2 linked regions of the Solanum lycopersicum genome follow. The protein of the gene in region 2 binds, or shares a complex with, the protein of the main gene of each other region. Links are inferred from orthologs where the notes say so. Each region holds a gene or a part of one and is shown on either strand. Other genes may lie near its edges.

The links. The genes of interacting proteins can lie anywhere in the genome.
Region 1: protein ANTI-SILENCING 1 (region 2) and ASI1-immunoprecipitated protein 1 share a complex: the UniProt entries of both Arabidopsis thaliana proteins name them as parts of the ASI1-AIPP1-EDM2 (AAE) RNA regulatory complex. The link is inferred for Solanum lycopersicum from reciprocal best matches to the Arabidopsis thaliana genes AT5G11470 and AT1G05970.

What each region holds. Positions count from the first base shown.
Region 1 is NC_090809.1:60,241,393-60,245,603, forward strand, and holds the start of ASI1-immunoprecipitated protein 1, read right to left. Parts: upstream 2,810-4,211; 5' UTR 2,677-2,809; intron 35-2,676; 5' UTR 13-34; coding exon 1-12. UniProt on the Arabidopsis thaliana protein: Prevents gene silencing by suppressing CHG methylation as well as histone H3 lysine 9 dimethylation (H3K9me2) status at target loci.
Region 2 is NC_090810.1:6,216,522-6,220,766, forward strand, and holds the start of protein ANTI-SILENCING 1, read left to right. Parts: upstream 1-1,435; 5' UTR 1,436-1,781; intron 1,782-2,181; 5' UTR 2,182-2,277; coding exon 2,278-2,652; intron 2,653-4,245. UniProt on the Arabidopsis thaliana protein: Collaboratively with AIPP1/EDM3 and EDM2, the AAE complex regulates alternative RNA processing (e.g. alternative splicing) and epigenetic silencing (e.g.

The sequences.
Region 1 (4,211 bases), on a different chromosome or scaffold from region 2:
TAAACTTTCCATGATGAGTAATAGCAAATTTCACCTAAGCAGAAGCAATTCACCAGAATCTTTAGAAAAAGAGGTAAACCACAGTTCACATAATTTTGATAACAAATTACTGGCGACTCAAAAATATAATCTTAGTGCCAATCATGCTGCAACCAACTTAACGTAGTTGAAGGGTATTATGTGTATTGGGAAATGACACATTCGTGCTGGAACACCATGATGATGGCTGAAGTGAATCACACCAGCATTCTCAGCTGTCCTCTCCAGTGATTTCTGCTCTTTTGACCGATGGAGCAAAGTTGCAAAAATATGAGTAGCGGAAGTAATCATTACGGAGTTGGGAAATGACACAGCAGGGAGGGACTTGGCTGTAATATTAGAGAGGTTCATCGAAAATGGGAAATAGAAAATAGTGACTGCAAAATAGATTGCTGGGGATTACTCTATTTCTTATTTGATTGAATTTGGCGTTAGCAACTTCTCTTGGGGTCTTCCAAGGTCCATGGACGTAATCTAAACTACAAACGGGCGGAGTTGTTCTATGACTTAGCAACAGCAAAAGGATAATGGAACGTACTCTGATGTCTTGGAGTAACTTAATGAGACACATTTTCTGGAAGAAAGAATAATTAAGTCCTGTAACTTCTCGATACATTGGAATTTTCAGACTTAATTCTGGATATAGATCCGAGATTCCATTGACAAGAGGAAGATTCACTTGGCTGATTGGAGAAACATAGGGAAGTTTTACAAGCTCGAACAATTTCAATCTCAGTAAATTGGGAAGAAAAATATGCAAATACAAGGGAGTCTTTACTACTGAGACTTCTTTATGATCACTAACCAATAATGCTGGATTTGAATAGATAATCAAGACACCTATCAGATTTGAGAACATGCATTTTGAAAGGAAGGGTTTGAATACCAAGTAAAGAACTGGTTGGATTCAAAGTCCAAGAAGTTGACAAATAGGATTTATCATGAATCTAAAAGGAAAACTGAGTAGATTGGCATCAGTAAAGGACACAATAGGGAAACATGAAAATGTAGAACATGGTGGATCAAGAAACCAGGCAAAAACACTAGATTTGGTATAGACTGGAAAATACACATCGCTGCTACTACAGTATCTCCAAATTGTTCATTACTGACAGAATAATTGAAAACACAAATGAGAATTAGAATGAAATCTTTTACTTCCAACAGTGGAAGAAATTCATCTTGCCGGTTTAGTAAAAGAGAAAACTTAAGTAGAGAGTTAAGCAGTCATAGAAGCAGAAACTTCACCAGCAGGATATATGCTACCATGTCGAATAGATGCACAACGGGTTTATATTGAAAATGTTGGGTGATAGCCGATAGGTAAGAGAGATGTCCTGACAGCCTTCTATCTTCAGGATGGACTAGATGCATCTTCAAGAAACGAGATGAGCTTGATTGAGCTACTAATTTCCACTCGTTGTAGCTCAAATATAAGTATCTATAACTATTAGATTAATGCCAAAGTTGTTGCCTTAGAGGTTAGAAGTAGTCAAAGTATCGGATGCACAGAACATATTTTTTGAGAAAGCCAGCAGAGTCGCATACAGTTAGTAAATGAATGTCTGGAAGTGGATTGAAAGAGGAAACCTATTACTAGCGTGTAAGCTGAATAAAACATGTAGCCATGTGAGCCGGGAAAGGAGGATGAAACAATGAGTCATCTCTTATTTGCATAGTGAGGTGGTAAAACTTGTAAAGATATCTGGACTATATTTTTCTTCCTGTGACTGATACGGCAATGCCTAAAGCCGCTATAAAGTGCTTAACCACCATGAGGTGCTTTGTGGAATTTTAAAAAAAGTATTAACTTAAGAACCTAACAGCTTACAAGATTCAACATCATGTAGGCAATAAATATGAACAAAACTAGACAATTTCAGAAGAAAGATTCGTAAGCTTTTGCAGCACCAACTTGGTGCTTCTAATGTAGTTGTGACTTGTGACTGAACTGTGCAAATGTGCAATTATTAATAACATTACTAACAAAATAGTCTCTACTGTCTTTTTACAACAACAGCAACAAACTCATTGTTGTAAATAATGTTAGGGAGGCTGTTCCGATAGACCCTCAGCTGAATGAACAAAACAAACAGTGAAAAAGAAAAGCTAATAGCAACAAGCAGAAACAACAAGAAGATAATAAGATACCGAGGCTAAAAAAATAACTAGCACCTAACAACATTGTTGTACACAAGGACATGATACATAACCATTATCTTTGCTACACAGAGACATAGACTATACCTACTTGTATAAAAATCACATATTTCAAAGCTCAACCATCATCCAAAATTCCAAATTACTCAGTAACTTCAAAATTTAGTACTTATGTAACTCAATTTACCCAGCAACATTTACAAGGCGTTGAGAAATATTCAGTTAAAAAAAAAGATCCAAATTTTTTTGTTTCAACAAGATAAAGAATCCAGTATAGTACAACCCCTCCATCTCCAAAATTGAGAATCAAGTATAATAATGAATTCAAGAACACAGATTAAATTTCTTCAACCAAACCTAAATCCCAAGTTCAAGAATCAATTTTTGGCCAAACCCACCTCCTCCAACCCCACAACAACCAAAACCCACAAAGTAAAACAAAAAATTAAAAGGGAGGGGTTTTCCGATGCTAATTACCTTTGAGTTTCGCCCAGGTTGATGGAACCTAACTGGAACCTTCTTCAGACCTTGGATTGTGCTATTATGGTGATTTTATAAATTTTCCGTTAAGTCTTAGGAAAACTTCTAAGTTCCTTTTAACCCCCAAAACTATCTTGAAAATTACATATTGGGTCCATATTATCATCTTTTTATAATTATAATGCGTAAGTAAACCCAATTTATGTTCGAAATCTCAAACACACACATACTATACTAAGGTCCTAGTAACTCTTGAACTTATTTTATAAATAATTTTCTACCCCTTTCAACCTACGTGACACTATCTAGCTCAACGCGTGTTGTCACATAAGCCGAAAGGGGTAGATATATATAAAATAAGTTCAGAGGGGTATAGGATCTTAGTATAATATAAGTGTCTCTGAAATTTCGAACATAGATTGAGAAATACTTATGTATTTTCCCTAATTATTTCAAGTATAAATTAGAGATTAGCTTAGTAGTGTAAATATTGTAAAATATCCGTACAAAATATTATATGAGTTAAATGGTAAAACTATATTTCAACTATCATATTTTTGCGAAGTCCATATTTCAATTGATCTATTCAAATTATTATATTTTGGTAGTTTCATATATCTACTATAATTTTCTTTATGTTAAAATACAATTCGTTTTTCAATTGACTACACGTGTCTGTTGTCAATTGAAATAATATTTGACTAACTCATCATTGAGGTGTTCTAATAAGAAAAAAGTGATAGTTTAAATAGTTAAAGAGAACAATGGATAATCAAGATATAAAACTTGTGAAAAACAATAATTTATGTGTTTCTTTCGGCCTCTTGTTGGGCAAAATTTATTTGTATATAATGTTTATATCAAATCATACTTTATTAACCCATAAGCATATTAGTTGATCGTCTTCTTACTTTCTAGTTTATAACGTAATCATAATGAGTGTCCAAAGAAACTCGGTTTTCCACCATACTATGAAACTAGAGTTTCCAAAGAGAATAATATATGAACTAGAAAAGTAAGTTAATTTTTTTTCTTATTTTCTTGTGTTCAATATATAAGTAAAATATATTATTCTAAGAATATATGCATAAAATCTAATAAATATCATGAAAAGGGCATTGAAGTAAGGTGGTGGAGTGAAGTTGAGGTATGCCGAGAGTGAAAAGGATACAATAAATGTGTAACGTCAGAAACATTATTTTTACTAGAAGAAAAGATATAAAGTCACCATTGAAGTTATTTCGGTTTTTAAAAAGACACTTTAACTTTGCGGGTGTTCTATTACCCCACAAAAGTATTGAATATCGTTGTAGAAGGGCCATTTAAGGCCATTTCCACACCTAGTCAGACGTGCATGAGGCTCGCGCTTATATTAATTCAAACCGATTCGTTTAAAAAAATGATAGTCACGTGTGATACACACAAGCTATATCTATATTTCCATTAAAACTAAAAAATGTTCCTAAATTAATTTTTTGCATTTTCACAAACATTTTATTTATTTATTAATATACAATCTCTGTTTATCTCTA
Region 2 (4,245 bases):
TTGGTGAACTAATAATAATTTTATAATGAATGGCTTATTGTTGTGGGGGTAAATTTATTCTATTTCTTCATAAGATAAACCTGAATTTGTTAAGAGTTAACATGCGTACACTTTCAACTCAAGTGTATTAACATTATTATTTATATTGAACAAATTTTAGGAATAATTTAAATATGAATCATATTAGCGCTATACAACGACAGTTTTGATAGTTTGCTATGAAGCATTTGATTTGTATAAATAGCAGAGTATGATTTTCAGGCATATGATTTGTATAAAATTGCAATGACTGTATGTGTATATTAGTTAATATGTAACTACTTTGTGTATGTATCAATGCTTGTATTTGAATATTTGCATAAAATTTGAATTTGTTTAGATTGAATCAAATTAAAATATTTATATTTGTATATAAAATATCTCTCTCGCTTTATATAAATACAAATTATACATTATTATTTTTTTTATATAATTTGTATTTGTATAAAGCAAGAAAGACAAGAGAGAACTGTGCATGAAATTTGTATAACGATAACTGTATAGGACGAAAATATATCTATTTGTATTGTATATACAACTTTCTTTCTCTTGCTTTAGACAAACACAAATACAATTTATATATTCATATACAGTGAGAGAGGCGACCAAAGAGTGACGAGCGAGATTCAGAAAAAAAAAAACGAATGACAAAGTGTTTGCTGCAAATTAGAACTAAATGATACTATATCTATAACACTATTTGAATTCCATAATATATAATTATATATTATTAGTCCTAAGGCCGCAAACCAAAACTTAAAAACCTATAAACTATTACATTACTAATTATATATTATTAGTCCTAAGGCCGCAAACCAAAACTTAAAAACCTATAAACTAGGGATAATGCACAAGTACCCCTCAACCTATGTCCAAAATTCCAGAGACACACTTATACTATATTAAGGTCCTATTACCCCCTGAACTTATTTTATAAGTAATTTTCTACCCCTTTTTTGCCTACGTGGCACTAGTTTGAAAAAAAAAGTCAACCATCGTTGAACCCACAAGATAGTGCCACGTAGGCCGAAAAGGGGTAAAAAATTATTAATAAAATAAGTTCAGAGGGGTAATAGGACCTTAGTATAGTATAAGTGTGTCTCTGGGATTTCGGGCTTGAGGGGGTATTTGGGCATTATCCCTATAAACTATTACATTACTAGTTCGATTTTTTTAAGAAAAACATATTATATGACTATCCATCTATACCATTTTTAATATATATATATATATATATATATATATATATTATAATTTAACTTTATTTAAAATAAGAAAAATAAGTTATATATCATTCGATAATCGTCTTGTGCTAATTCCTAATTGAATCAATCAATATTTTATAAGCTAATTAGTGTATAAGTAAATTTAAAATCAATATCCGTTAAGCCAAATTATCCATCCAAATCTTATTATACACTAAAAACTACCTCAATCAAGTAAAATATACCAACAAATATAATTTCTTATACATTTAAATAAGGTGAAACATATTTAGAATCATGATTAATTTTTGTCTATTTAAAAAGTGAAGCAATCTAACGCCCATCTCCTTCGGCACTGACTGTCTTTTCCCTCCAATTGATTGTCACGTCTGCGGCGGTTTTCCTAAGACTAGGGTAAAGGGAGGACGATATTAATATCACAAAACTCGACAGTGAATGAGTTTACATATGCCCAGAGATATCTTCGTCGGGATTGCTCGAAATTGAAGGTGTTCTTAGGGTTTCGGTTGAACATTTGTAAGTCCCTTTGCACCGAATTAGAAAATAGGCTTTGAAGTAGAGTTATTACTTCGTTTGCTTTCCAGTATTTCCTTTTCAATGTTGGTATGACCTTGGTGAATGGACATGTCTGCTGGTTTAATGATGCATTGATTTTATTTCTAGATGTTTGTAAGCATGCACATTCTAGAATTTCTTATTTGTTTGTTTTGCCTGTTTAATTTTTATAATCATCACTCATGGACGGAATTATGATTAGCTTAAATTAATTTTGGAGTATTTAATTCTTGGAATATTTGTATATCTTTGGTCTGTTATGCATTTATGTGTATTAGATTTTACTGCCACATTATTTTAGTTGTTGCTACTCCATTAATATAACTAAAAATTAAGCCTTTTAATGTATTTTGCATTTCAGCTCAAGCTGGGCATCTTGGTGGAAGCAGTCATCATAGGATCCTCGAGGGCTGAATCCGTGTGGTAAAAGTAGAGTGGTCTGTGAGTGGAGACAGTTATGGCTTTGGTAGAAGTTGGTAAAGAAGAGTCTCTAGTGGGTCTAGATAAGGATGAGGAAGTTGAATTTGTCTGGGGTAGAAAGAGAGGTATTGGTGGTAAGAGAAAGGAGGTGCAGTTTTATGAATCTTTTATCTATGATGGTGTGGAGTATACTTTATATGACTGTGTATACATGCACAAAGAAGGTGAACATCCTTACATTGGTAAGATCATAAAGATATGGGAAAATCCAGACAAGTCTAGGAAGGTAAAGATCCAGTGGTTTTTTCGGTCGACAGAGATCTTGTATCACCTGAAAGATGTAAAGGTAGCTGAGAATGAAGTATTTCTTGCCTCTGGTGAAGGCACAGGATTGGCCAATGTTAATCCTTTGGTGAGCGTCATAAAATTGCTTTATCTCATTGTGTTTTCTTTCTGTCTGCTTTTACCTTACATTAAAATAGAAATTAACTATGTAGAGTTACTTAAACCATATTGTTTTATGTATAGCATAAAAACTATCTTTTTAACCAACTGCTTATGGTTAGAGGAGTTCAATTTGTGTGCACATCTAATCCAATATATATCTATTTATTGTCCACCTCGTCAATGTTAGTAAAATTCACTCAGTTCTTGTGGAGACACTTCTGCTTATTTCTATTTGGTTTTGGTGGATCTTCAAAGGAAGCCGGGCTTCTTTTTGAGGTGATACAACACAAATTAACTTGAAACATATGTTATTATTGCTATCTTTGTGGTGGAAGACGAACAACCAGAAGGAAGCCTGAGATGATTTATTACTTGCTGATGATGACAAAGCAGATGAACCTGTAACAACAAGTACTTCTCTATGAAGTTTGTCTAAAATGAGAGATGGGAGAAGCTAGCAGATCGATCTGTCCTATATTCCTATTGAATGCCAATTCTGTCCCTCCTTGTTGCCGGTCTGCCTTTTTAGAAATTTATCCTTTTTATTGAGAGGCTACCTCTTTCTTAATTTTTTTTGTGTAGATCTTCTCGACCCAACAGAAGGAAGAAAAAAGGGAATGATAAGGTGGGTGGGTGTTGGTTTGAATAGGCAAGGGGCATTTAAAAGTTAAATATAGGATGAAAGGAGTAATTTTTTTATAAGCAAGTTCCTTCTTTTGCATGATTAGTGCAAAAGCATCAATGGCAGCCAAGTTGCCTCATTGTAATAGGAAATCATTGTTGAAAGTAAGGGAGTCAAAAAAATGAATGAAAGGAAAATGGAAGGGGAAACTTAGAAATAAAAGCTGGCGAGGGTTTTGATTAGGTTTGGGAACAAAGACAAGAATACAATTGATTCCTCTTTGCTATAAGATCTGGTTGGAGCTTTTCTTTTTACCCTAAGGGCGAGGTCTGATTAGGTTTGGGAACAAACTTACAAACGATAATTCAATAAATTTCTCTTTTTTGAGATCTTGCCGATTTTTTTTTGCCACAAGGGCATTGAAGGTTTTGGTAAGCACCTGTGCTTGCTAAATATACACGTAATAAGCTCCTTCAAAACGAGTGTGTACATAAATTCTGCCGACATGGACAAAATTAGGTGTTGCACGACCTCATCTCCACTCTTCAAATTCTTGTTGACTTCCATTGATTGTAGGTTCCACTTCTTTTTCTTCTTCACCATCACAAACAAAATTGTCACTTAAAGTAGAAACCTATCAAATCCAAATTCTTTTTTTTTTTGGGAATTGATACTTTTCAATTCATCTTCCTCTTTCTCCACCATTGCAAGCCTATAATTTCACATAAACCTATTCAAACCCCGCTGCTCATTTTTCCCCACCATTACACCCAAAAGATTGAGCCAACTAGCAAATCCAGTCTCTTTGTGATTAAAGCCAACTTGTCTCAAATTTCAAATGACCCATTTTCTGCTTGTTTCTTTCTCTTGTTGTGCGCTCTCACATCTCTTGAGACAATGAATGCCTATCCCAATGCTAGAAGATAAGTAAAAGAT